Struthio camelus: one gene and its partners. The protein of the gene in region 1 purifies or fractionates together with the protein of each later gene. This does not show direct contact. Links are inferred from orthologs where the notes say so. Each region holds a gene or a part of one and is shown in the gene's direction. Other genes may lie near its edges.

Region 1 (7,396 bases):
TATTTTTAAAGGCTTTTCCTCTATGTTTTCTTCTCCTTAATATTGTTGAGCAAGACTGCCCCTTGCAGAAGGGATCTGATGCGTGCGTAGGATTTTGCAACAGCTTTCTTCTGTTACTGGCTGTGCATAAATTATTCCTGCCTTCTGGCTTTAGGCAGCAGGTGCTACTGCCCCCTCTTCAAGGGGATCCTTGAGAGACGGACAGACACAGACCAGTCCTTAAGACTCAGATGATAAGGGAAGAAGACCTGGGACTAAATTGTTCCGGTGTTTTTTCTGGGCCTAGTCATGGCCATCAGATTTGTTCCCAATGGGAAAGTCTTTTGTTGCGATCTCTCTCATTTCCTTGCTTCTCTTCTTGTCAATGATCTCCATCTCCCGCAGTTTCTGCAAAGCGCAAAGAAAGGCCTGAGTGGTGAGCATGCCAGGAGCTCCTACTTTTTTTTGCCAAAGCCAAGAACAAAGGTTCTTCTTCCCTAGACTAAGTTACATGCAGACATGGAAAGAAAAGCTGAAAACCCCTCTCCCCCAGTCCCCTAAATTCACACCTGCCCCGTGCCATGAAAAAGAACGCTCATTTCTCTGCCTCTTCCCAGTCTTTCCCATGCACCACGCTTGGTTATCAGAGGGCTCAGATTTCTAACACCACGGATTCCCTCTACATGCTGTAGCACCAATGCCCCCAGGGCCCTCACGTACCTGTGAGATTTCAGTGAGGACAATCCCTCGATACTTCTTGCCCTGTCCTAAAGCTTCCATATCTGCCAGGAACTCCTTCCTCTCCTGAACTTCATTCACCACTAAGCCCAAGGAGAAGAGAAAATAACGTGCAAACAGAATGCAGCCAAAAGGCAAGCAAGCACTTTTCTGTTTAGCTCTGAACCCCCAACTTCCTAGCTCCACTGGAACGGAGGTCCCACCAGGGGAAGGATGATATCTACTCTAACAATTATCTTCACCATGTCACCAAAACATCTCAGCAGTTTTTTACGTAACAGGAGTACTTCCCCCACGCCCCCAGCCCCTTTCTCTACCTTGCCAGAACAGTAACTTTCTAGTTTTTTATGTGCAGGCAACACTGTTGCTTGCAGGCATTTTATCCAGTCTGTGGATGGAGATAGAAATCGTCTTAAATCTGTTGAGGTTCACTAGTCCACATGCAGCACCAAGTAACCACACACAACCATATTTGGTTGCAGGACCAGCTCATGCACAGAAGCACTTCAGCTGCTTTTTTGCAGCACAGACCCGCAGCCAGTTCCTGAAACAACACCTGACACGGCACAGTACACGAGTACTTTAGATGTGTCAAGGACAACAGTGAGTTTGAGACAAGTTTTATAGGATCCAAAGCACGCGTGGAGCCAACCACGCTGGTTTCCGTGCATCAGGGACCAAACCACCCCTTGCAAACACATTATCTGCGTGTTGTCATTCTTTCTTCTGCCCTGGTTAAGGAAGAGCTAGCTGGGGTGCATGCATGCATTGCAGTTTCAGGCACACAGAGTTATAGAAGGCAGGGTTTTGCCATCCCAGAAGACTCTGTAGGCCAAAGTACATCACTACCTAAAATTCTTCTCTACATTTAAGCTTTGCTAGTGTAACTGCACTGATTTGGGAGCAAAAGAAAATGCAGCCCAAGCCACACTGAGGCTGGCAAAAGTCCTAGTCTACATGGAGTTAGACCGGCTGGAAGAAGGATCCACAGCAGCTGGGCTTTCTGCCGAGGTTACCCTTGCAAACCGCTAAGGTAGTCCTGTGCCAACAGAGTTGATTTTGTATGGGCAATCCAGAGAGCGTGACTCTGTCAGCAAACCTTTGCAGTATAAATTCTGCTAGGAAAGCTGGATCAGTGTCACAGCAAAAAGTCCTTTCTCTTGGAAACTGGGCTTTGTGCCTCCTTCCGCAGTGGGCTTCAGATTGCTGGCTACATGGCCTGCCACTCCAGCTCTTAGAGGGAGCTGAGTTCCCAGGCCTCCCCATGTGCCTCACTCTAGCATCCTTTACATACGTTCTTCAAAGCGGTCAAGCTCAGGTGTCTCCTCTTCCTTCGCCTGAACCAGCGTCGGCTTCACTTTGTGCTCCACCACATCCTTCCCTGTCGCCAAGATATTTTGGAGTCTTTGCTTCTCCCTTTCCAAATCTCCTGTGAATTGCAAAGAAAAGAAAACTATTAGCAGCCTGTCTCCTCAGGGAAGGAGCCTGGCCGCATTGCTTCTCTCCAAATGATGGCAGAGGAAGCATTATGTTAATGACAGCCCATCTCCAGACTGAACTGCGCAGCCCTACACAGATGTACTTGCAGTGAAGAGGCAACCAAACTGACATCAAAGGTCTGATTCACATTTATAAACTGGAAAATATATATAGTATTCCCTTCTTAGGCAAGGATCACATGAGTTCCTATTACCTATCATCTTCCTAACCAAGCAGGCGTTGGCAACGAGCGTTTACAGATGTTCCCTCAGAGCTCTCTTTTTATGCATCTTTGAAGACAGAAAGCGTGAGGATGAAGAGCAACTAAGAAACCCCCCTAAGGTTACTGAGATGGCAAACAGCGCATGGATGTAAGGGACTGGGCAGCAGGATTTATTTATTAGTGACATTTGCTGACTTACGCCTTGCCTGTGGTTTGAATTTCTCTCTGGTATAGGCATCTCCTGCCTGGCAGATCTTGGCAGGTCGAAGATGTGGTTTAGCTGGAAGCCTGCCTGGCAGACAAAGCTTTGGGGGAGAGAAGGCAGACTCTGCAGGCTGTGGCTCTTTGCTGGATGTGGGGTTGCACTGGAGGGGCAGGGTATCTCCTCCTGGAGGTCAAAGGAAAAATACTGGTAAGTCGGACACAGAGGAGCCTATGGCTTGATGGCCTTGGACCAGCAGAAGGTCTGCCTAGTGATCCACCGGAGTACAGTGAGCAAAGATCCCAAGTACCACAGATGTCTTACCCAGTTATTGGTTCATTCGGACATGAGCGAGACTGGTTCAAGTCCCACCATTACGTTTTCTTCGCTGGACTGACCCTTGGGGACACCTCGCCCAGCACAATGTCAGCAGCAGCTCTACTGCTATTTTAAAGGCAAAAGTACAACAATGAAAGGAAGAGGCAGGCCAAGGTTGGACGGTTTTCTCTATGAGAACAGTTTCCACTACAACATATGAAAACAGAGATCAGGAGAGTTAGGCTGGACCTGATGCTGACAAGAACATGACTTCCTCCCAAGTACTGCCCATTCATTTGTTTCTTGCCCATCCACCTAGTCTGCAGGCCAACGTTCTTCGTCTCATGGTGAGCAACACAAACTCAGCAGCACAGGGTGGAGAGCAAGATGGATGTTACTCACGTTTCACACAGTCCATCAGGTGCCGCCTCTGGAAACTTGTAAGCTTGGACTCCTCCATCATTGCTGAAAAACATGGCGCATCTGTGAAGACTACAGCCTGAGAAGGCTCCACTCTTCACCTTTGGCAGCTAGGACAGGTGAAACGGCTTGGTAAATCAGCCCTGGGGAAAATCTCTACTTACAAATCAAAATCCAAAGCGGGGAAGATCAAATTATTTTGCAATTTCAGAAACATCACACCAGGACGCTCATATATAGATACGTTCACTGCCAGGTCTAGCATCTTGCTCTGTATGTTTCTCTCTCAGCTCTCCCTCGAGGGGATGAATTAGGGGGAGTGTTTTATTTCAGGAAAGACTTTCTTTTTTAAACTGACCACACAGTTGCTATATAGAAGCAGTAATAACCGGATCCAAACGCTCTGGTTCTTCACTTCCTTCAGGCCCCCCCCCCCCGCCGCCGTTACCTTTCAGCAGCTCCTGGGTCTCCCGGCTGTATTGAGCTGTCCCAGGAGGGTGCCAGAAGTGAGCTCCTTTGGCCGCAGCTGGCGCTGACCTCCTCCTCTCCCGGGACGCCATCGTGAAGCCCTGAGAACAGCAGCGAGACAAGGCCACCGAACGTCCCCAACGGCATCGCCTCGCCGCCGGGCCCGGCCGTTCGGGGTCCCGTCGCGCAGCCTCTGCACCCCCGGGGACTCCGGCAGCGTCCCAGGGAGCATGGTGACAAGTGACGTCACAGGCGCTGCCCTTCCAGGGACTGCGTGGTGACAGGTGACGTCACAGGCGCTGCCCGCGAGGCATCCGTACCCCGCCGGGCCCTCTCACCTTCCCTCCGAGGCGCGACCCAGCCTGACGTCACAGCGCGGCACTCTAACGCCACAAGGGGAAGAAGCCCAGCGAGCCAATTAAAAACAAAAAAACAAAAAACAATAGCAACAACCACACCCACAAAAAACCCTCTTCCCGTCTCCATGGCGACGCGCGGGCGGGAAGGAGGGGACGGGCAGGGCGGGGGGGGGGAGCGCGGCGGTTCGTCGCCACGGCAACGGGGCCGCCGGTTCACTTCCGGTAACGTCACGGCGGGCCGCCGGAAGTGGCTGCTACTTCCTGGCAGGAGGCGGAGGAGGCGGCATGTCTGACAACGAGGATAAGTGAGCGCGGGGCCGGTGGCGCTGGGTCTGGGGGCGGAGCGGGGCTGCGGGGGCCGGGCCGGGCGGCACAGGGGGCCCCGTCGGGGGGGGGGGGAAGAGAGAGGAGGAGGCGATGGCGGCCCAGGGCGCTGTGCGACGTCCGTGTCCACCCGCAGCTTTGATGGCGACGACTTCGACGATGTGGAGGAGGACGAGGGGCTGGAGGACCTGGAAAACGCCGAGGAGGTGAGTGCAGGCGCGGCGGCAGCCGCTCCCCGGGGCTGCCGGCCGCGCAGCCAGCTTGGAGCTGCTGGGCTTCTTCGCAGGTCTTCTGGCAGTGCTCTGTGGAAAACCCTTGGTTAGCCTGTCTTTCAGGCCCTAAAGGCGTCATGTGTTTTCCCAAAGCCTGGCTGTGCTGCTCTTTGGATGCAGTAACGCTGCTGTGCTGGTCTGTTTTTCCCAGGAAGGGCAGGAGAATGTAGAAATCCTCCCGTCTGGAGAGCGTCAGCAGGCAAACCAGAAGCGGATTACCACCCCCTACATGACCAAGTATGAGCGAGCCCGAGTCCTGGGCACTCGTGCCCTCCAGATAGCGTAAGTGTTTTGCTCTGTGTCCCAGCTGTTACCGTGGCTGGCCTGCGGGCTTCTAGGGTCTCCCATCTGTATTTAAGTTGCTTTTCTCTTTCCTGGAAGTATCCTGGAGCTGTTGAAGTTCCTCATGTGATCTCTGAGCTAGTGGACCACCATCTGTGCCGACACTGAAAAACAAAGCCTTTGAGTGCTTAGTCCCATGTGAAATCTCTGTATCTTTTCCTAGCTAAGGTTATGGTACTTGTGTCTAGAAAGGGAGGTGTTCAGCAGTTGTAGTGCACCTTCCGATGTGATAGGTAAAAGAACAGGGATGTGATAGGCTGATCCTGATTTCTGCCTTTCATAAGATGAGCCAGTCTGTGCTGGAAAGCTCGGAATCTGCTAGCAAAAGCCAAGATTTGAGGGAGTAAAGTTCCAGAATGTCTTCAGTTGATCTCATAGGGCTGTAGGGATTAAGAGTAATGATCTCAACTTCTTTTTAGACTGCAGTTGTATTGCAGCTATATGTTTCTACAGCGTTTGGATCAATGGGACCTCATTTGTAATTGTACTTAAATCTTATTTTAAGTGCTGTTGAAGCTGGCTGCTCTCGACATCTTCCATTTACCTTTCTGGATCTATTTGAATAACGCATGTCAGAAGACTGCCCCGCAAGGAAAGAGGTTGTTAGGCTGTGGTAAAGTTTGTCTGAAAAGGCATCTCTGAGTCTTATCCTAGTTATGTGCACTCTCTCAAAATAATGCTTCTCCTTCATATCACTTAGAAGCTCGTAGGTGGTGATCAGATCTTTCCTTAGTCATCACTTTGCCAGGCTGTTCTTTGCACAGTCAACACTCTGTGAGGCTGTTTTGTGCACATTCCTTCAACTGGTAGAAGGCCAGAAAAATGGGAGAGATGAGATGGGTCTGTGCCAGACCTTTAATCCATATGCTCTAGTGCCTGATTGGGCTTCGCTACTTACTCTGCCTTCAACACCGAATCTAGGCCAGCAGCAGCCCCCAGTGGCCTTATCCACACATAACGTGAGCTTCCTTTGCTGCTGTTGCTTAATGGGACAGATAATAGTCAGCCATGTTGGCTGTGCTGTTAAACTTCCTGCGAAGTGCTTTATTTTTTTCCTGGAGATAGTGTGTCATAAAACCAGCCTCTTACTTTACCCCAGGTAAAGCCTGGAAAATAAGATCAGGTCAGGAAGTAAGAAATGTGGTGGAACTGTAGATGGCATGCCCATTTTATAGTGTTTCCACTCTCCTTATTGGATTAATTTTAGAACTGCTCTTTCCTTCCTCACATTTATGTACAGTCCAGGGGGACTCCAGGAGGATGTGGTTTTGACCAGCTGTGAAGCCCCAGCTGCAGTTGAGGGACGGGTCAAGAAGAACATTCAAGTAAAAGCTCAGTCCATAGCCACTTGCATCTAGTGAAAGCAGTCCTGCCACCACAAGATTGGAGTGGGGGACATTTCTTCCCAAAGTGGATAAAAGTGCAAACCTTGGATTTGCCAAGGTGCTGTTCCTCCCTCCTACTTTGCTGAACTTTGGGTGAAAGACATAATAGATAACGTGCTTAGTTATCCCTCTTCCATCTCTGCGTATTCTCTATTTGATTGTTGTTATTTCCACTCAGGATGTGTGCCCCTGTGATGGTGGAGTTGGAAGGAGAGACAGACCCCTTGCTGATTGCCATGAAAGAACTCAAGTAAGTCTCAGATTTTGACAGTGGGTGTCAAGCAGTCCTACTCATCCTAGCATGTAGCGGCTTATCCTATGCAGGTTGTGCACTCACTCTGTAACAGTGAGTATTACAGTCGCTGTCCCCTCTCCCCTGTTGGGACCGCTCCCCAGCTGCAGGTAGCTTGGGTATTGCTGTGTCCCATGCTAGGAGCTCTTGCAAAGTACTGATTATTAGCAGTACTTTGACTTCTTTTACTTGGAAGTCCAAGTGGTTTTTATTCCCTTGAGAACCCACGTCTCCATCTTTCTGGAATCAGTTTAATTCCCTGAAAGGAGCTGATGCAAAGCAGCCTTCCTAACAAACCTATGTTCGAGTGCTGGCAGAAATAAAATAAAGGTCAGGTTTGTGATGTGGAGGCCATGTTAAGAATGTTTTTCTCCTGCACCCTTCCATGCTTGGCTTACTGTGATTGCAAAAGACTCATCTCTGCTTCCTGCCTCCAGGTTAGGGAATCTTATCTGGTTACCAGAATGTGTTGCATAGAGATGAAATACAGTCATAGCCTTTCTGAGAGGCAGCTTCTGGATGACTACTTACAGGCCCACCTTTCCACAGCAAAGCTCCCTGCTGGTCCACAGTTCACCAAGATGGTCAGTGACCT
Region 2 (7,243 bases), on another chromosome or scaffold:
CGACCGAGGGAAAGACCACCTTTTAGTATATCACTTCACTCCCCAAGCAGTTTCTCCCTGGTTACAGCCGAGCACGGAAACTTAGCAGATCCCATATACGCTATTACATCACATACCGTACATAAGTTTCTACCACTTTGTTCTTACTCTTGCACAAAGCATTACCAAATAACCTGTAAGAGCAGTGCTATTAAGGCAAAAAGAATTGAGGGGAGGGAAAAGAAAGCCATCAAAGACTCCCTCTCAACATCTCTCATGTATACGCACAGAAAACGGGGAGGGAGAAACAGGCCTGGACTCAGCTGGCTGAAGGAAAGGCAGGGTAACTTTCGCTTATTTCTACTTATTTGCTTATTCTACGATTTTACACAGCAGATTTTATATAACAGCTTCCAGGATACTAAACAATACACTGCTCATACAGTGAGGAGAAAGGCGATGTTTCAACCCCAGAACATAGCAGTCTCTGAAGTTAAGAGAGGAGCTCTAGTAATAAAGCCCAAATTCCAAAATCACCAAGTTCTCTGGGAACTATTGATGATGTAACTAAGTTCTGCAGGCAGACTCTTCTCTCACAGCTCCTATTTGGACCAAAGGATGCAGCACAGCCAACACAGTACAGAGCATTTCAATAGTTATTACGTTCCAGGTCAGATCTTAATTGCCATGGAGCTACAACCAAAGCTCCACAGCACACACAGTGAAAACTGGAAACTTGTTCAACCTAAGCTGAAGCTAGAAAAGAGAATCAGCATTAGACTACGTATTTGTGCACATAACAGGATGGTTAATAAACATCTGAAACAAAACACAGAGTTAGCACCACTTTCAAGTAATAGTTTCCTTCTGTAGCAAGATTTCTGACTAAGGAGAGAGTGGGGGGGGGGGGAAGAGAAAGAAAATTATAATTAAGCCAAGAATACAGCTGCTTCCTACTTGCCCTTCCAGAATGCCCTGATTTCAGAATATGGAAGCAAGTAACTCCATTACTGATAAAGTCTAGGCTAGAAAGATGCAGTTTAAACATGGTCATCTTTAATTCAAGGAAAGAAAGAAAAAAAATAAGTCAGTTTAGAAAGAGTAAAATATACTCAGAACAAAAGCCACCCTCCTGAAAAGCGTGAGCAAGTTTCCACATCCAGCAAAAAGCTAAAGGGTTCCAGAAATAAGTGAAAACATTCTTCCTAACTGAAATTCACACCACTGAAGTGCCTCAGGAGTTGAAAAGCTCTGTCTCCAGTGGACATGCAGCTCCCTGCTCCCCTTCGCTCCCTTCCGCAGGGGGCCACCTCTAGAGGTAAGTGTAATTTAATCCCAAGAGCTCATTCAGTCCTAGGCCTCTCTGCTGAGAGCCAACATGGACGCTGCTTAGTGCCAGTGAGGGAGGTGTTTTCTAAGGTGTGAACACCATTTTAAAGAGAATTGCAGCGAACCTCACCAAAGTCAGTCACTCTGCGGCCAAATAACGCAGCCACAGCACAGAGTGATCTGGGTCAGATCTAGATGACAAAGGGGGTTAATTTCCACATTCCCAGAGCCACCCCGACCACCCCTAGATACTTCCTCCTTCCCCATTCCACTTTTCCTTCCCCATCGCCCAGCCAACGAAGGCAACACAGAGGTCACGCACCTGGCTATCGGACTTCGGCTCACAGACCGCTTCGCAACAAAAGGGCTGCTCGAGCGCCTTCGGCCATACGGGCTGGGCGACCTCCCGCTGTACGACCCGCTTCCTCTCTCGTAGCTTGAGGAGCGCCTCCTGTTATAGGGACTTATAGACCTCTGTCTCCGGCTGTAAGGGCTGGGAGAGCGAGTGTTCGACTGGTAGGCCACAGGCTCCTTGTAGGGCGGGCTGATCGACTGCCTGCGTGATGAGCCGCCGGGGCTCTTCTTGTAAGAATCATAGTTACTGGATGTATGAGACCGGGGAGGGCTGATATCATACTCCTGGATGTAGGAGGCTCCTGAGGGGCTGTCATCCAATTTAGGGCTGTCAGACCATTTTCTGTGAGGACTTCTGGATTTCCGCTTCGGACTGTCAATTGTTTTATAACTTTTTGGAGCATCCCTTTTCCGGTGGCTTTTACTGCGCTCTTTGTGGCTGGACTTGAGTTCTCGATCCTTCCTGGATTTCTCCTTGTGCGCTTTGGCTGACCGAGACTCCTTGTTGCTACTCTTCGAAGACAGTGACTTGGGGTGCTCCTCGTTGTCATCGAGGAGTCTCTTGGAGGATCCTGATAGTCTGTCCTTGGTGGACCCTGACCTGCTAGATGCCTCCAGGCTCTTTTCTAACTTCCTCTCCTTCTCCGCCTGCTTGCTCTTCATCAGCTCACGAATGCGCTTGTGCTGGTGGTGCCGGTGCTTCTGTATCCTTTCGCTCCTGTCCGCTTTCCTTTCCTCGTTCTCCCTCCTGTCCAGCTTGAGGGCCACATCATCCGAGAAGGTATCCGAATCTGAACTGATGTCGTCGTACTCCACCAGCGGCTTGATCATTGCGCCCAAGGGTGCCGCAGTCTCTTGGGCTGCCAGCGGTGACTCCTTGGAGTGCCTGGACTTATGCCTCTTGTGCCTGGAGGCCAGCCGATGCCTCTCCTTGCTGTTCGAACTGCCGCTGCCAGGCGCGTGCTGCGAGGACCCCCCACCGCCCCCGTCCTTCTTGCCCCCATGTCTCTCCGGATTTGGCATTCCTCCTCCACTGTGCTTGAAAGAGGGGAGGGGGGGAATCCTCCAAAACCCCCAAACTTTAAACTCCCTCAGCACCCAGCTCCCTCCCCTCCCACCATTCAGAGCAGCGTCGCCCCCCGCCTCGGCCCTCCCTGCCGCCAACACCCCCCACCCCTTACATGGGGAGCGGGCCGGCGAGCTCGGCCCCGCGGCGGCAGAGGAGAAGGAGGAGGCGGAGGAGGAGGCGGAAGGGGGAACCGGCGGCGGAAGGGCACCGGCCTCACCGCCTCACCCGAGGGGCCCAGGCCCGGAGGGCAGCGCCGCCGCGGGGGCGCCCCGGGAAGGCGGGGCCTGGGCCCAAGATCCCTCCCTCCTTCCCCCTCCCGCCGCCTCAGCACCGGGCCCCGCCGCGCCGGCCCCTCGCCCCGCCGCCGAGGCGGAAGGCCGCCCCTCGCCGCCGCCGCCCCGCGCCGCCGCGTGCCCGGCCCGGCCCGGCTCGGCCCGCCGCGCCCCCCGCTCACTTCCCAAAGCGAAACGGCACCGCGTCCAAGGGGGGGGGGGGGGCGCCCGCCAAATCTCGCGAGAGCCCGCCGCCTCTCGCGAGAACGCCGCCGCCCTCCGCCCCGCCGCCGCTGCCGCCGATCCCGCGAGAGCTGCCGGAAGGGGCGGGGAGAGGGGGGGAGGGAAGGGAAGCGGGGCGCGTTCCTCCTCTCGCGAGAGTTCTGCCGATGACGCGCTCGCCGGCGTCGAATGAAACTTTATTGGGGCCCCGAGAGCGGACAACCCCCCTCCCCCCCCCCGGCCGCGCACTTTCAACAAAACTTTATAAGGGCGCGCGGGGCGGCCATGGCCGCCCCCTTTGCCTCAGGCGGCGGCCGCCCCGGGACACGGACCCGTTCTCGAAGCGCCGCGGCCCAGCCGCCCGCTGAGGGGGGAGGTGACCGGGCCTCAGCTCTGCCAGTGGCTCGGGGCCTGGGGGAGAAGTTTCACAGGGGGCTCAAAGTTCACGGAAACCCGCCCGAGCTCGGCTGGCGAACGCGGCGCTGCTCTGAGGCTCGCTCTGGGCTTTGCGCCTTCGCCCCTACGCGACCAGGCCGAACGCCGGGGGTTACGGCTCCGCCTCTCGGCAGCGCCGGCCGGGGGAAGATGCGGGCAAGGCGGCCGCCCCGCGGGCCCGGGGAGCCGGTGCACCGCCGCGGCCTGGCAGCGAGGCGGCCAGCTCCATCGTCCGGCAGGTAGAGCCTCACAGAGGGAGCCGTAAAGGCGGCTCGGCCGCGGCTGTGAGCGGGCTGCCGCTGGCCGCCGGGCCCTGCCGGGCTGCGGGAAGCCGGCGAACGCCGCCGCGCTGAAAGGGGAGGGCGGGGCTCCCGCGGGCCACGCCCCTTTCCCCCCTCCCGCTCTCGCGAGATCGCGGCGCGCGCGCCTCTTCCCTCCCCCTCCCCTGCTTTCCCGGCTCTCGCGAGAGGACGCGGCCGCCCTCTCGCGAGAGGGCGGGAGCGCCGCGCGCCGGCCCGCCCGCAGCGCAGCCGCGGCCGTTGGGATGGCGGCGGCCGCCGAGTGAGGCCGGCGCGGAGGGGCCCGGCCGCCGCCGCCCACCCGACGCGAGGCCGGTGCCGCGGCCCGCTCGGGGCCGCCCGTCCCCAGCCGCGCCATGAAGGCGGCGCCGGGCGGCGCTGAGGGTGAGTGCCGCCTGAGGGGCGCGGCCGAGGGCGCCGGGCCGGCCCTGTGAGGAGCCGCGGGGCCCGGCCGCCCGGCGAGGGGCTCCCGGTGTCTCCGCCCCGGGTTAGGCCGTAGGTGTCGTGTATCTCCCCCCCTCCCCCCCCCCGAGAGGTGGTACCGCGGCTGCGGCCCGCCGTGAGGGGCGAGGACCCCTCGGCCGGCGGCACCGCCCCGGGCTTTCCCCGCCGTAGTGCATGTAACGCACCCCTTGGGCCTCCCCGCGCCGGCTGCAGGGCTTGTTCCATTTTTGAAGGGTATAAGGGCAAACATCCAAGGGAAGCTCTGACTGCGCTGCACTCTGGCAAAAAAAATCCCCTTGTCCCTAGTGTAACTGAGAGGTATAAAGTGCCTGGAAACATCTGACAAACGTTTAGTTATGTTTTACACTGGGACTTGGTGGGGATCCCTGCTAATTCTGTGAACTGTACGCACGTCGATCATGAAAATGAGCTCTACAAAGTTTGCAGTGTTGCACAGCATGGCGGTTAGTAGCCTTTGTGTTTGCCTTGGACCCTGCAGTGCCAGTGAGAGATTTATTTTGGCAGTGATGTCCGTTGGGTTTTTCAAAGAATGCAACTGTAGAAAAAGCTGTCTCCTAGATAGCAAAAGAAATGTCAAATTATAACACTTTTGAAACTGTCTCTTTTTTTTTGTATGTGTTTTTTATTAGACATTGGGCAAAAATACACTATTCTAATTTGGATTTTTTTAGTTAATCTGCCTGATGATAGTTTTCTGCCCAGTCAGTGTCCCTGTCTCCCACCTCTCATCAGTTTATCTCATCAGGGAGATACTTTTCCTAACAGTGGAACTTTCTAAAATACAGGAAAACGAGCTTGTAAAACCATACCTAATAGAAGGAAGTTGGTGGGATATGACAAGCATTTTGTAAAGGTTGACTAGATTCCAGTCTGGTACTGAGCTGTGAACCACTCTTGAAGGCAGAGCAAAACAGGTCATCAATTGCTTTGTTAGATCACAGGATATAGAGCCGTACACTGGTTCCAGAACAGCACGAAGACACCAGTCCTTGGTCTCAGGCTAACAGAGGGTGGGTGAAAACGTGTCTGGTCAGAGAGTTTTCGACCCTCTGAAGCACTGGCAGTTGAATCAATTTAATTAAGGGTGTGAGAGATGAAGGGATCAGTGCAAATCTTTACAATGCAAGAAGTCGGAGGGTTAGAAGAGTATGAACAGTGAAGGTGAAGTCAGGAGATGAAAGCTTAACCTCTGTTCTTTAAAAGTTTGCTGATGCGATGTTTTCTACACTCTCTACTCCTTGTCCTCAAAAAGCTTCAGCACGTCTTTAAGCCATGCTGCTGTAAACCCAAACAGTGCTCTGACATATTACTGTCATACAGAACTTAGTCGTCTGGAACCGTTCATCTCATTCAGGGTCCATGCAGAATAGTAACTGGGCTTCTCCCAACGAGCCCTTAGACCTTTGATGATCATCTAGGTTTTAATAGTTATATCTATTAGTTATAATATTTTAATAGATACATCCTTAATGTCATATAACCTTGAAGTCTAGGTCCCAGTGATAAATCAGCAATAAGTAAGTTTTGTGAAATCATTTTTAGCTTGAAGATGGAAAGTGTTTTTGTTACAACTGCCTGCTTGTTGTATTTGTAAAACTTTAAATTTTATCTAGTTCTCTCTCTTCTGAATTTTCTCCTATGATTTGCCTTATAGAAGCAGAGAAGCTGAATAAGATGAGTTCGCTCTTAGAAAGACTTCATGCAAAGTTTAACCAAAACAGACCTTGGACAGAAACCATGAAGCTAGTCCGCCAAGTCATGGTGAGGATTGTTGGAATCTGAGCAGGAGAGTTTCAGGAGCATCTTTAGTAATGATTCTGTTGTTGGTTTGTTAGATCTCTTCAAAGCGCTTTGCTTTTTATCCAAGCCTCGACTTCCTGTTGGGCCACTGCGGTTGAGGCATGCCGGTTGTCTCGCCCAGCAGCGTGCAGGGGAGTGATGTGCATGTCCTGTCTGCCTGGAGTGCCTCTGCTTTCCCTGGTTGCAGCCTCCCGCTTTACAGCCTAATTGACAGGGGGCAGCTGTCAGTACAAATGCAGGAAGAGGGCCAAACTTAAGGTCTCTCACCACCGGTTCAAACCACAACTGTTCTGCCACTTGCTGTTTCGAGATGTTTTATTTTCTTAAGCAATTTACTCCTTTGTCCGTAGTGTTCAGAATTCAGTGTTGGCTTAGTTGAATGTGGTTTTGAAACATTAGTTTCTGGGTGGGGGAAGGTAGGAGCAGAAGGCAGGAGAGAGCTACATCAAAGGTTTCTGCATGTGTTGTTCTGAGATGTTAAAAGTTTGCCCGTCTAGGTATTTCTCTGTCTCCTCTTATATAACTCTCAGCTTATGCCTATTAAAAAGTTATTACAGTCTGTTCTTCCAGATGAGCGAGTTGCTTAAAGAACAAGTTGCCTGCCTTTGTTACCTGCTTTCAAAATGGATACTGTTGTTATTATAGGAATCGAAATGAGGATGTAATTTTGGGATGAAGTCTAATCTGCCTTTAATTACCTGAATAAAGCTTAGTTGACTGAGCAAAAATTGCAGTAATTCCCTCTCAGTGAGATATATATCAAAAGGTCATTTTTCTTCTCTCTGACTAAGGAAAAGCGAGTTGTGATGAACTCCGGGGGGCACCAACATCTGGTGAGCTGTTTGGAGACTTTGCAGAAGGCATTAAAAGGTTAGTACGTCTGTGCGTTCACTTTATGTACTGCTTAGCAATGGTACGCTGTGGAAATATTCCACGTCATAAAAGCAAGCAAGGTTCTTGCTAGCACGTATCTCTCTGCGTTCTTGGTGTATGTGTGCTCATGTTTACGTAAGCATGCT
Region 3 (6,899 bases), on another chromosome or scaffold:
GAGGGGAAGAAATGTTCATAACTTCTTTTTCTGGGGAGGAGAGGAGCCTGTTCCGGAGAGGGTGTCAGATACTAGGTGAAGCTTTTCACCCATTAGGGAGGAATGTCTGATTTCTAGACCTCAACTGGGCTTAGGTAGATAATAAGCTAGGTACTAAAGTACTCAAATTCTTTGGACCTAAGATGCTGAAATTGAACCGGAATTTGTAGGATCGCAACGTATGTGAATGCTTTAAGTGCCTATCCACAGTTCTGTTTTTAGGTGCCTAACGCCTCTTTTGGATGTGACCTTTTGCTCTTTCAATTCATAGCCCTAAAGTAGCAGCTTTCGATGAAAGGTAAACGTGTCCTTCCTGCCCTTCCTCTCTGCAGACAGTTGAACAGTCAGAGGGTTTTGTGCAGGACTGATACAGTGCAGGCACTATAACACACCCAGACAAAGGATTTGTTTTCCCTGTAAGGTGTTGACGCCAAGTCTTTGAGATTTGCTTTAAGAAAGAAGCACGTGTGTTACAACCCTGCCAGCCTTGTAGGGAGGAGAGGAGATTGATTGTGTCCATCCAAAATGTGAGTAAAGGACTTTGAGTATAATTATTGAAACTCTTTGACAAAGTTTAATTTGCTAAGTTCTGTAGTTGCGAGAGTTGCTGACAGTTCTCTCTAGACCTGGTGTGTAAATGCTTGGAAAAATATGATTAATATTTTTATTGTAAATGTTACTTTTTTAATGACGTAAACTGCCTTCTGTAGTAAGGTGGTATCATATTTAGCTATACGGTCAGTAGGAGTTTGAATGATTTAAAAACGAAACTGGTTTACAGAAATATGCGCAACTTATTTTATGACACTCTTGAAGAGAATATGTATTTGACAGACTTTTGGAATGATATTGCTATATGCTGTATTTTTAATCTATTCACAATGAACAAATAAAAATTATATTTTTAAAAAATTTGAACATAAATTTGAGTCTCAGCCCTGCAAAACTTACCCAGATGCAGCGTTCCTGGGGTAAGGACAGCGAGTTGGAAGCCTTGTTTGTGCGTCAGACGTGCGAGTACTGATGGCTTGCACCACTTAAGTCATGTCGTTCACTTCATCTGGATTCATTCTGGCTGGTCAATAAAGTTATTTTTTGTCACTTTTTTCAGTTGAGTTTTGGTCATTGCCTTTGGGGGGGTTCTTTTTTGCTCTTGCTTTTATTATTTGCCAAAGTTGAACCCTACTAGTGCAAGCTCCCAGAAATCCTCTGTGTTGTTTTTATTATGCCATCCCTGATCTTGTGTACTTTCAACAGTCAGAACTAAATAACCAAGAGGAAATAGCTAGATGCATGCCAAGAAAATGTTTTCCTGAAGACAGCTAATGGTTAATGTGATGTTTTATTTGCATTCTGTTACATCTGCAACGTCTGTAACTACTACAGGATACGACGTAAGGACCAAAGCGCTCACTGGCAGGGCTGTTAGAGGCACCTTTATGCCTCCAATCTTTGCCTAGCCCTGAGGAAAAAAAAAAAAAAAAGCAAATATTTGGCCTGGATGATTAGAGGTGGGAGAGTTCTTGTAATGGGTACAATATCTAACGATACACTGCCATCTTTAGTATGTTTATTCCCTCTTCTGTACAAGAACAAACTGTTTGGATACTAGCCCTTCTCAACTATTGCAACTGGAGCCCTTACTATTGCTTTTTTATTGCTTTAATTAGACAGGTATCATTTATTATACCTGTATAGTTCAAACAGCACGAAATCTTTCTATAGCAAAGACACTTTGCGATAATGGAATCTCCTAACCCAAAAGCCCCAGTGGGGTCTCTTAAGCCAAATTCACTCCAGTGTCACTAAGATGAAAAACGGTGAAATTTGGCACTGCCAGTCTTGCGTTTAGCTATAGCTGGTGTCACCGAGAGTTGGAGCCTTTGGCAAGAGGCACAAAGCAAGTAGGGATACCATCCTTCAGCAGTCACGGGAACGATGGACACACACGTAGAACTGAAGAGTGCAAATAAGAAGACCGGCCGTTTCTTAATCATGGCTCTGATGTGAATCTCTGTTTGTTTTTTTCTCCACAGGTGTAATTCCAGTTCTGTGAGTAGAGTAACTCCCGACAGACACAAGTATAATTTAGGTGGGCCAAATCAGAACTTCTCATCTGAATTTGAGAAGGGAGGATTACACTTGAATCTCTGATTGGATTCTAGGCTGGTGCTTCTGGGGGCGAGTCGGGCTGTTTTCTGGTTGAAGCTCAGGTGTGTCTCATGTGCCTCCTCCCACCGCTGGGGACCTGGATGTTTCGTGGGACGGGCTCACGGGGGTTCCCACCCATCAGACGTCAGCTGGCCCTTGGTGTGAAAGGGATCAGAGTACGGGTGGTAGGTCCTCTGCTCTTCGCTGACACTCCTCTGTCAGGAAAGTGGTATAATTATGCAGGTAGCTTGCACTATATTTGAGTTCTCCAGTAAATTCACTTTTGTTTTGAATTTGAACATTTGAATACATTGAAAAAAATCCCATCACGATCATCGTGCCTCACGCTGGCCCAGTGAGCAACCCGGTGACCCAGCTGCCAGCCTAGAGGTGGGGTCTGCGCTCCTACCGCCTGGAAGCGGCACAAATGGCTGAGGTGAATGTTCTTGGGCACAGGGCTTTCCTTCACCGATCAAGAGAACGGAGGGTGTGAAAACGCAGCAAGAGGAGGATGCCGCTCACCACTCCGTGCGTGCTGCTGTTGCTGAGCGGCGTTTCCAGCAGGACTGCCACCCTGCAGAGCCGCCGAGGTCCCCGCGAGGAGGGCGGGCGCCATGCCGGCCGGCCGGGGACAGCCCAGAGGCTCCAGGGCTTGGGTGGATGGGTCGGGGGGAGGGATGGACTGAGGTCTCGGGAGTACTCCGGCAGGTTTATTCTTTCTATCCCATTTAAGCGGGCTGCCATAATCACAGAGTTAAACCAGGCTGCATGAAGACTTTGCGGCCTTACTTCGGGAAGGCTGGAATTCTTTCCCGGACGCCGTCCTTCAGCTCTAACCAAGGGCCAAGAATAACAGTATTTTCCAAGAAACCTCACCAGACCTTCAGGCAAAATGCGGACAGAGGTTCCCAAAGGCACCTTCATAAGGTACAGGGCCAACTCAGATGCGCTCCTACCCCTCGTCCGCAGAGGAGCGCATCGGTGCAACCCTCCAGGCCCTGCTGCTCTGGCCCCTGTGTTGCAGCACGGCGAGGGAAAAGAAAAATCCTAAAAGTCTAAGCTTTCACTTTTCAAACTAAGCGAGCTCGGACTTTGCAGCAAGGAAAAGATAAAATGTATAACTTGTAGGTTTAGCGGTGCGCAGGCGAGGCCCGAGCGCCGGCGCGCTCGCTGCCGGGAGCAGCGCGGGAGCGCGCGGCGGCCACGTGGCGGCTCAGCGCTGCCCGGGGGGGGGGGGGGGGGGGGGGGGCGGCGGCCCTGCCCCCTGCGCGGAGCCGTCCGCGGCTGCAGGCTGCCGCTGCTCGCTGCTGCTGCTTCCGTAACAGCTCTCGGCGCTGCTGCAGCCACGGCTTCGCTACAGGAGCGCAACAAAAAAAAAAAAAAACAAGTCTTTTTGGTTTTGGACGTGTAAATGGTGTGTAAGGAGAGCGGTTGCTAGGACCAGCTCTTGGAAACGTGGGGGCGTCTAAGAGGAAGAAGAGAAAAAAAAAGGGAGAGCACAAAGAACCGGGCTGTGTCTGTAAGAAATCCCCTGCAGAAGAAGCTGGTGTCGCGGCGGTAGCGTGGCCGAGCGGTCTAAGGCGCTGGATTAAGGCTCCAGTCTCTTCGGGGGCGTGGGTTCGAATCCCACCGCTGCCAGCGGCTCTTTTTTCTGCTCCGCTCCGCCGCGGCGCCCCCTGGCGGGCGCGCCGCCCGCCGGAGCATTGTGGGTAGGAGGAGGACCGCGCTCCCCACGTGCCGGCCGCAGTGACACCAACATGGCCGCCGCCTGAGCGCCGCGCACCGCCACCGGGGAACCGGCGGCCCTGCTGCCCGCGCCGGCCCTCCGCCAGGTAGGCGGCCGCCGCGCCCCTCTTGCTGCTTGGCGGCGCCCCGCGGGCGGCGGGGGAAGGGGAGGCTGCTGCGAGGGACCGGGGGGGGAGGGCCGCGAGCCTCTCTGAGGACCTCAGACTCGCCACACGTAACGGGGGAGGGGGGCTGGGCGCGCCGGTTTGGCGTGAGCCGCGGCCGCCCCGGGCCTTTCCCCACGCGGTGCCGGGGCGGGAGGCTCGCGGGTGGGCGAGGAGGCGAGAAGCGCCGGCAGCTGCTCGCCGCGGCGGGGGGTGGCGGGCGGCGCGGCGCGGCCCGGCGGCGGCGGGACAGGCCGCCCCGCTCCGCGCCGCCGCTGAGGCGCTGAGGCGAGGTGCGCGCGCGCCGCATGGCGCCCGGCGGGGCAGCGCTGGCGGCCGGCCGTCCTGCGCAGCCGCTGGCGGGCGGGCGGCGACGCGGGTAACTGGGTCAAAACCGCGATCGCCGGGAACGTTTGGGAGCTGCTTCAGCCCTTGTTGGCCGCTTCCGTTGTGCTGCGCGCGCGCCGGGGCGGGGGGCGGCCGGGCTGAGGGACCCCCGCCGCCGCCGCAAATGTGGGGGCGGGTGGCCCCTCTCCTGCCTCCGGACCGCTGCCCGAGGGCGGCGAGAGGGCGGCGGTTCCCGGGCTGCCGCCTGCCCTTGCGTAGGAGCATCTCGATTTCGTGTGCCGCCGCTCGGGGGGGAGGGGGGGTCCGTGGGTACCGTCACACGGAGGTGTTAGTGACCTGCTGGAGCAGTTCTGGCAGGTCTGGCAAGAGTCTGTCTGTGTCAGGTGACGTGCGGGACTGCAGTCTTTTTGTTCACAGTTGTTTCAAAGTTTTCAGCAATAAAAAGGGGAGATCTAGCACCCAAATACCCATCCGAGTTCAGGCTTAGAGGCAGGATTCATCTGCTCCATCACTGAATTTTTTACAGTCCTTTGGGCGCAATATTTTTTCTTCACTGGTTCTAAATTGGTGCTGTCATGGGCAGCTCGTGAGCACTTCCATCCTGTCCTAGAGTTCATCACTTCTCAGAAAAAATGAGAAGATTTACCCCTTGCCTTCCTAGAAGATGTTCTTAAGTTTAAGGGTGTGTATTAATAATTGGCATTAATATTGATTTACACCAGGAAAGTCCCTTTAAAAAGAAAAAAATTCTGCATAGAGGGATAATTTTAAACAAATACTCAGGTGACCGTGCCTGATGTCTGGTAGCTTTTAATTCCGTGCTGTTACTCTTCTGGTGTTCATTTCTGCATTCCTCGTAGATAAGAGGAAAAGGGTCTACACAGACTGTAGACATGAATTGTGGCTGCAGGCCTGCAAGGAAAGCTTCATTCTGATTCGGTGTAACATCCCTCCAATTGCGTGAGTATTATAAATCGTTCTGGGACACATGGCTTCCTATGTATCTCCCTGTCATTCGGGTATTCTAATAGAAGGGTCTGTTGTCATTTTCTGTCCTTAAATGGACAAGAAAAATTGTGATCTTTATAACTGGACATTTTATTTAACCACTGACAGCAGGATTCAGGAAGAGCTTTCATGTAAAATTACATAAGCAGCCTTAGATGAAGGACAAGAAACAAGGTTGTTGTTTTTTTTTTCTCTCTCGCGCTCTCTCCCTAGCCCAGGGAATCTTAATTTCTGTTCCACAAAGTGGAATAACTTCCTCCGGAGAGGCAGACGAGAATAGCGCACGTTTGGTGCTCAGAGAAGGCAGGGGAAATGGGATTTCCAATGCCCCTGTGGGGACAGGGGGTTGAACGCAAGCCTCCTCCCTTCTGAGCGTTACCAGGCGCTATCGCGCGTCTCGGGCCCCCTCCCAGCTGGGGCTGTGCTCTGAGGGGAAACGGCACTTGTTCCATTTTTTTGCAGAGCTCTGTCCTGTGTACAAAGCTGGCTTTAAGTGAACCTGCTGCATCAGGCCACCCAGGAGACATGAGTCGGGGAAAGCAACATTGGAACTGACGAGTCTCATTCCTTTAAAATAACTTATTCATGCTTGTATTTCTGGGAAGAACTGAATGTCTGATAGCAGGAGACTCGTAGTCACTCGCTCGGATGTCACATACTCACGGTTGTGCCAGAACAACCCCAGGCCTGTAGTTAACTGAAGATGCAGGCTTTTCGCTGTGAAGGTTTTGCATTTCTACAACATAATTCCACATCTGAACATCAGATGATAACTGGTAAAATTTCAAGCATGGCTGTGTGGGAAGAGCCAGGGATACGCTGGTGCATGATGAGATGGAAAATTCTGGTTCTGTAGTGGGAGGAGCACTTTTTTGATACTAAAGAACCTGAAAGTGAAAAATACGGAATCATATTCCTAGCTGGGGTGGCAGAGACAGTGTAGATACACCAGAGGTGGTGTTGGAATGGAGATTTGCCCATGTAGTGGTGTTAACAGCACTTGTATCCAGAATGTCTATCCAGCGTCTCTGGAAGGTTTCTTAGACAACTGTGTGGTATACTAATACAATGTTTTAAGAAGCCTGGGTATCTTCTGAAGTATATTGAGCTGGTTAAATTGGGAAATGGACTGTGTATTTTAAAAAAATTACCGCTGTCCTGGGTGAACATAGATGATGACTTCCCTTGCTTCTCTCACAAGCTCTATATTGCCAGCTGATTTGGACTCTGCCTCCTTCTCTCTTTCTTCCTCCGTAGGAGGTCCAGCAAAGAAACGAGCTGGCACCAGGGAGTAGAAGACAGTGAGGAAGAGTGGTGTTTTAAATGATCTGGACTAATTAACACTGTTGCAGTGTCATCCCAAATAATTTATAAATCCTTCTTTGTTTGATTTCAGCAGGAAAAACTATTGTTGCTTTAGCTGAGGGACCATTTTTTTATCCAAAGGTCTGAATCAGGCGTGAT
Region 4 (6,288 bases), on another chromosome or scaffold:
CCGTCTTGCCCGTCTTGTCGGCGATGTCGGGGTCGGCGCCGCGCTCCAGCAGGTAGCGCACCATGCGGGGCTGCGCCAGCGGGTCGGCGTAGCGGGCCCGGCAGGCGGCCATCAGCGGCGTCTGCCCGGCCGCGTTGCCCTCGTTGATGTAGGCGCCGCCTTCCAGCAGCAGCCGGGTCAAGCGAAATTTGCCCTGCGTCACGGCCCGCAGCAGGGCCGAGCCGTCCGCCGGCAGCACGGCCGGGCCGGCCGGGCGACGCGGGGGGCTCGGCATGGCCGGCTCACGGCCCCCCGACGGGCGGCGGCGCCTGGGCGGGCTGAGCCCGGCGCATGGCACGCTCACGGAGCCGGGCGGCGGGGAGCGGACGGGGCGCGGAGGGGCTCAGCCCGGAGCATCGGGCGCTCACTGCGGCGGGACGCGGCCAGGGGAGGTGGCGGCGACGCGGCGATCTCGGAGCATTGCACGCTCACTGCAACGGGACATGGAAAGGCAATGTCACATGGATATGGTGATCCTGCAATGGGGCACGGAGAGGGGACGTCGCATGGATGTGCTCATCGTGCAGCACTGCACCCTCTCTGCAACGGGACACAGAAAGGGGATGGTGCACAGATACGGCGATCTCGGAGCATTGCACGGGCACTGCAATGGGGGACAGAAAGGGGACGTTGCACGGATATGGAGATCCCAGAGCATCGCACACACGTTGCAACGGGACACGGAAAGGGGACGGGTCAGGGATGTGGCGATCCCAGAGCATTGCACGCTCACTGCAACGGGACATGGAAAGGCAATGTCACATGGATATGGTGATCCTGCAATGGGGCGCGGAGAGGGGACGTCGCATGGATGTGCTCATCGTGCAGCACTGCACCCTCTCTGCAACGGGACACAGAAAGGGGATGGTGCAGGGGTTTGGTGAACCCAGAGCACGGCGCACACATTGCAATAGGACGTGGAGAGGGGGACCGCGTTGCACGGATGCGCTGCTCCCAGAGCTCCCTCCTGGCAGGCAGCCCTGGCTCCCTGCCTCAGTTTCCCCAGCTGCAATTCTTGCCCGCCCCCCCCCCGCCCCCCGCTGCCCTCGCAGCCGCGGTCGAACTGATGGCACTGACGGGCACCGACGGGCTCTCACGAGGGGGCGACCCCTGCGGATGCCCCTGTCGGACTGGCCAGCGGTCACAGCCCAGCCTGCAGCACCCCAGGCGCCAGGGCTTCTCTGCCACTGCCTGTGGCTGAACGCCCTGCCTGCGCGGTGCCCCGGGTCCCCTGCTGGTGCCCCCGGCATCCCCTGTCCCCCGCCTGTATCCCCCATCCCTGGGTGCATCCTCCGCCTCCCTGTGCACCCCCATCCCTGGGTGCATCCCCCACAGCCCCAAGTACCCCCATCCCTGGGTGCATCCTCCACCTCCCCGTGCACCCCCATCCCTGGGTGCATCCCCCACAGCCCCAAGTACCCCCATCCCTGGGTGCATCCTCCACCTCCCCGTGCACCCCCATCCCTGGGTGCATCCCCCACAGCCCCAAGTACCCCCATCCCTGGGTGCATTCTCCACCTCCCTGTGTACCCCCATCCCTGGGTGCATCCTCCACCTCCCCGTGTACCCCCATCCCTGGGTGCATCCTCCACCTCCCCGTGCACCCCCATCCCTGGGTGCATCCCTCACCTCCCTGTGCACCCCCATCCCTGGGTGCATCCTCCGCCTCCCCGTGTACCCCCATCCCTGGGTGCATCCCCCGCCTCCCCACATACCCCCATCCCTGGGTGCATCCCCCATAGCCCCGCGTACCCCCATCCCTCTATACATCTCCCTGCATCCCTGCCTGCCTGGTTCCCATGGTTACTGCAGCTCATCCTGCTCCTCCGGCTCTCTGGGCAGCCAGAAAAATGGGGGGAAAAGAGCCAACCCCCCCACCTTTTCCACCCCAATTTGCAAGCCTGGGTTACAGCAGCCCCCGGCAAAGCCCCGGCTGCATCCGAGCCCCACTGGGTGCTGGGGGGGCTGCCGGCTCCAAGGGGGGACCGAGCTCTGGGGTGGGGGGGGGCCCTGCCCTCCGCGGGGGCTGCCCCATGCGGGTCTCCCCAGCCCTCCCTCCCCGCTGCCTTCCTCCATCACCCCCGTTACCAGCGCGATGCTCCGGCGTCCCGGTGCGCAGTGCCCTGGCCGTGCCGGTGCCGGGGACATGGCGCGGTGGCCGCCATCCCGGCTGGGGGGGGGGGTCGGTAGGGGAGGTTAGCTGGAGGGTTTTTCCCCCCTTCCCCCGTCGCTATTTTTGGCAGCCGCTCGCGCGGGGAGGCTGGACGGGGATGAATCACCCGGCGGCGGTGGCAGCGCCGAACCCGCTGCGCCGAGCAGCCTGTGCGGGAGGCGGCGGGAGCAGCTGCCGTGGGGGCACTGCGCCGTGGGGCTGGGGGATATGACACCATGGGGCTGGGGGACACGACGCCGTTGGGCTGGGGGACGCGACACCATGGGGCTGGGGGACGCGACACCGTGGGGCTGGGGGGATATGACACCATGGGGCTGGGGAGCACCACACCGCGGGGCTGAGGGACATGGGCAGTGGGGCTGGGGCTATGGGGCAGTGGGGTGGGAGCCAAAGAGCAGTGGAGCTGGGGGTTATAGGGCAGCAGGGTGGGGGCTATGAGGCAGTGGGTCTGGGCATTATGGGGCAGGGGGCTGGGGGCTATGGGGCAGCAGCATTGGGGGTTAAGGAGCAGCAGACCCAGGGGCTATGGGGCAGTGGGGCTGAGGGCCATGGGGCAGCAGCACTGGGGGTTATGGGGCAGGGGGCTGGGGGCTATGGGGCAGCAGCATTGGGGGTTATGGAGCAGCAGGCCCAGGAGCTATGGGGCAGCGGGGTGGGGGCTATGGGGTAGCAGCACTGGGGGTTATGGGGCAGGGGGCTGGGGGCTATGGGGCAGCAGCACTGGGGGTTATGGAGCAGCAGGCCCAGGAGCTATGGGGCAGTGGGGCTGAGGGCCATGGGGTAGCAGCACTGGGGGTTATGGGGCAGGGGGCTGGGGGCTATGGGGCAGCAGCATTGGGGGTTATGGAGCAGCAGGCCCAGGAGCTATGGGGCAGCGGGGTGGGGGCTATGGGGCAGCAGCACTGGGGGTTATGGGGCAGCGGGGCTGGGGGTGATGAGGCAGCGAGGTGAGGACCATAGGGCCGCAGCACTGGGTACTATGAGGCAGGGGGCTATGGCGTGGCAGCACTAGGGGTTATGGGGCAGCGGGGTGGAGGCACTGAGGCTGTGGGGCAGCGGGCTTGGGGGCCGTGGGGCGGCGCTGTGGGGCAGGGGGTGGGGAGCGCTCACCCATCGGGGCCCGCATCCCTCCATCCCCGTCCCCGCTTCGGTCCCTCGCTCGCCCGGGTGCCCCTTCCCTGCCCCCTTCGCCCCTCCCGTCCCCTCTCCCGCGGTTCCCACCCGCCTTTTCCTCTTTCCACCCCTCCCTGCCTTCTATCCACCTCCCCATTCAGCCGCTCGGCCCCGCCCCTTCTCCCCGGCCACGCCCCTTCTCCCAAACCCCGCCCCCTCCCGCCCTCCCATTGGCCCCGCCGCGCCCAAGTGCGGCGGCGCGCACAAGCCCCGCCCCTTCCGCGCCGTGTGCCCCGAGAGCGGGGGGGGGCGCACGTGGCGCGGCGCGGAGCGCCCGTGCGCATGCGCGGCGCAGGTGCGGCCGGGTCCGGGGTGGGGGGGAGTGTCCGGGAGCGGGACCGAACCGGGACCGGGGGGGGGGGGGGGGGGAGCAGCGCCGTGTGTCTCCGCGCCGTGCCCGCCCCGTTGCCCCCCCCCCGCCCCCTCACGGCAGCGTTGTCCCCTCGCAGCGCCGCCGCCGGGCCCCGGCGCCCCCCCGCACCGACCATGGCGGGCCGAGGCGGCCGGGGCCGGGGCCGCGGGCAGATGACCTTCAACGTGGAGGCCGTGGGCATCGCCAAGGGGGACGCGCTGCCGCCGCCCACCCTCCAGCCGTCGCCGCTCTTCCCGGTGAGTCTACGGGGAGGGGGGGGACACCTACTCTCCCCCCCCCCCACCCGCCTCCCCGCTAGGTAGCGGTGGCCGAGACCTGCCGCGCTCATCGCAGCAGTGGCGCTGAGGGCCCTCCTGCGCCCGCAGCCCATGGAGTACCGGCCGGTGCCGCTGCCCGGCGGCGAGGAGCTCGAGTACATGCTGGCCCTCAAGCAGGAGCTGCGCGGCGCCATGAAGAACCTGCCCTACTTCGTGAAGCCGGGGGCGCCGAGGCGAGGTACGGAGCCGGGGCGGCGGCGGGTATCCGAAAAGGTGACCCCGGGGCTGGGGCCGCCGCGGGGCTCCCCGCCGACGGTCCCGCTCGCCACCCCGCAGACATCGAGCGCTACTCGGACAAGTACCAGGTGTCCAGCCCCGTGGACAGCGCCATCGACTGGAGCCCAGGTAGCCGGGATGGGGAGGAGGGAGAAACGCCGTGGGAGCGGGCCGGAGGGGAGCCGGCGTCCCATCCGGCGCTCCGCTCTGCCGCGCAGATTGGAGGCGCCTGCCGCGGGAGCTGAAGATCCGGGTGCGGCGGCTCCGCAAGGGCAGTGAGTATCGCGGGCGGCGCGGGCCGCGTCCTGCCGCCGGGCGCTCTTGACGCCCGCCTCCTCTGCCCCGCGCAGGGCCCGCCGTCCTGCTCCCCAAGCGCAAGCAGCGGCTCGCGCTCGACAAGGAGGAGACCATTAAGAAGCTGGAGGTAAGGAGGCCGAAGGCTCGGGCCGGCCTTCGCCGGGGTTGTCCCGTGCGGGCGGCTCTCTTTTCTTTTTTTTCTTTTTTTTTTCCGCCCTGCGGCGGGGAGTCCCCGCGGTTAACGCGGGCGCGCGCTAACTCGGCGTCTCCCTTCCCTCGGCGCCCAGAGCCTGGAGAAGAAAGAGGAGGAAGTCACGTCAGAGGAGGAAGAGAAGGAAGAAGAGGAGGAAGGGAAAGAAGAGGAGGAGGAAGAGTATGATGAGGAAGAGCACGAAGAGGTGAGATCCTGGGGGCTGGGGGTGGTCTGGGTGCCTCCCCCCGCCCCGAGGATGCGCTTCAGGCCCCCGTCGCCCACCGGCTCCCCGTCCCCAGGAGACCGACTACATCATGTCCTACTTCGACAACGGCGAGGACTTCGGCGCCGACAGCGACGACAACATGGACGAAGCGGTCTACTGAGCGGCCCGGACGCCTGGGCCCTCCGCCGGTCACCAGCCTCCTCCTCTGCCCTTCGTCCCTCCCTGTGCACCAGCGGCGCTGAGGACCAGCCCGCCTTTGCCTCCAGGTGGCACTTGTGCTCCAGGCACGGGCGCTCGGCCGCACCCATCGTACGGTTGGGTCCCCCCCACCCGCCAAACCTTGCACCCGGCGTCACCACCGAGGTGCCCCCGCGCCGGACGAGGGCAGGACCCCCATCCTGGGGTTCAGGGGGGCAGCGAAGGTGTGGGCGCACAGCCCTCCCCGCAGCTCGGACCAAACTTTGCCCTTTTTTTGCTGTGTTTTTAGGTCACTTTTGAAGTGTTTTTTAGCTTGATATTGGGGGGGGGGGGGGGAAGGCGCCGGGGTGGGGGCGTAGCGGGACCCCGGGGGGGGGGGGGCTGCCGGGCTTGTGCCCGCAGCAGGACGAGGGCGCCGCCGCCATCGCGCCACAGCGTTTCCTCTGGCTGCCGAAGAGCCCTCCCCAGAAAGCAAGCGCCTCTTGCAGCTCTCGTAGCTGCTTTTTAATCTTTGGGGGTCTTTTTTTCTTTTTTTTCCTTAGTGGATTGGATTAAAGTGATGTTTTCTCTCTTTTTGAGCTGCGTTTGTGCTGTGGCCTCAAGTGGGGATTTTGGGGGGGGGGGGGGTGATCAGGACTCCTGGGCTGCTGCTTGTCCCCAGCCCCAACTGGGACAGGGGGGTCCCTGAGTGCTCCCTGGCGCTGGTCCCCTCCCTGGGCACGTAGAGGTGGGACCCCCCCCCCTCCCCGGGGAGAAGGGGGCTCTTTGTGCCACCCCCCCCCCCCGTCCCCGCAAGCCGCTCTCCAAGAATTGCTATTTTTAACGGCTTCTAGGAAAAAACCCAAAGCGTGCGTAAGCCTGGTGGGAAGGCAGCGCGGGGAGCGGCCTGGCACCGGCGCGAAAACCAGCGGCGCCGGAGCAAAGCGGCGCGGGGTGGCCGCTCGCGGCGCTGGTTTGAGCAGGGGAAGGGCTCAGCTGGCCCCTTCCACCTTCCCTGGTCTGATCCTGCCCTCGCCCGGCCCCCACCACACCGGTGTGTGGGGTCACTGGTTATACTGGGGCAGGCGGCTCCGGTTTGGGCCC

Evidence for each region.
Region 2: the proteins of POLR2F (region 1) and MED1 purify together in Homo sapiens (affinity purification with mass spectrometry; 3 studies listed by BioGRID and IntAct, with this or other methods). This does not show direct contact. The link is inferred for Struthio camelus from reciprocal best matches to the Homo sapiens genes POLR2F and MED1.
Region 3: the proteins of POLR2F (region 1) and POLR3E purify together in Homo sapiens (affinity purification with mass spectrometry; 4 studies listed by BioGRID and IntAct, with this or other methods). This does not show direct contact. The link is inferred for Struthio camelus from reciprocal best matches to the Homo sapiens genes POLR2F and POLR3E.
Region 4: the proteins of POLR2F (region 1) and POLR3GL purify together in Homo sapiens (affinity purification with mass spectrometry; 3 studies listed by BioGRID and IntAct, with this or other methods). This does not show direct contact. The link is inferred for Struthio camelus from reciprocal best matches to the Homo sapiens genes POLR2F and POLR3GL.

Annotation. Positions count from the first base shown.
Region 1 is NC_090942.1:58,570,735-58,578,130, reverse strand, and holds the start of POLR2F (DNA-directed RNA polymerases I, II, and III subunit RPABC2), read left to right. Parts: upstream 1-4,396; 5' UTR 4,397-4,471; coding exon 4,472-4,491; intron 4,492-4,646; coding exon 4,647-4,716; intron 4,717-4,933; coding exon 4,934-5,064; intron 5,065-6,687; coding exon 6,688-6,759; intron 6,760-7,238; exon of another isoform or gene 7,239-7,350; coding exon of another isoform or gene 7,351-7,393; exon of another isoform or gene 7,394-7,396. Other genes in the region: C1H22orf23 (UPF0193 protein EVG1), read right to left, coding at 283-387, 700-800, 2,012-2,146, 2,619-2,807, 3,342-3,404, 3,808-3,919. UniProt on the Homo sapiens protein: DNA-dependent RNA polymerase catalyzes the transcription of DNA into RNA using the four ribonucleoside triphosphates as substrates.
Region 2 is NC_090966.1:6,514,418-6,521,660, reverse strand, and holds the start of MED1 (mediator of RNA polymerase II transcription subunit 1), read left to right. Parts: upstream 1-4,240; 5' UTR 4,241-4,315; coding exon 4,316-4,343; intron 4,344-6,078; coding exon 6,079-6,185; intron 6,186-7,015; coding exon 7,016-7,094; intron 7,095-7,243. Other genes in the region: CDK12 (cyclin-dependent kinase 12), read right to left, coding at 1,631-2,685. UniProt on the Homo sapiens protein: Component of the Mediator complex, a coactivator involved in the regulated transcription of nearly all RNA polymerase II-dependent genes.
Region 3 is NC_090956.1:9,387,595-9,394,493, reverse strand, and holds the start of POLR3E (DNA-directed RNA polymerase III subunit RPC5), read left to right. Parts: upstream 1-3,892; 5' UTR 3,893-4,022; intron 4,023-5,287; 5' UTR 5,288-5,387; intron 5,388-6,899. UniProt on the Homo sapiens protein: DNA-dependent RNA polymerase catalyzes the transcription of DNA into RNA using the four ribonucleoside triphosphates as substrates.
Region 4 is NC_090971.1:3,068,654-3,074,941, reverse strand, and holds POLR3GL (DNA-directed RNA polymerase III subunit RPC7-like), read left to right. Parts: upstream 1-3,820; 5' UTR 3,821-3,871; coding exon 3,872-3,994; intron 3,995-4,091; exon of another isoform or gene 4,092-4,123; coding exon 4,124-4,253; intron 4,254-4,351; coding exon 4,352-4,420; intron 4,421-4,509; coding exon 4,510-4,566; intron 4,567-4,641; coding exon 4,642-4,715; intron 4,716-4,875; coding exon 4,876-4,986; intron 4,987-5,080; coding exon 5,081-5,167; 3' UTR 5,168-5,780; downstream 5,781-6,288. Other genes in the region: ANKRD34A (ankyrin repeat domain-containing protein 34A), read right to left, coding at 1-274. UniProt on the Homo sapiens protein: DNA-dependent RNA polymerase catalyzes the transcription of DNA into RNA using the four ribonucleoside triphosphates as substrates. Specific peripheric component of RNA polymerase III which synthesizes small RNAs, such as 5S rRNA and tRNAs.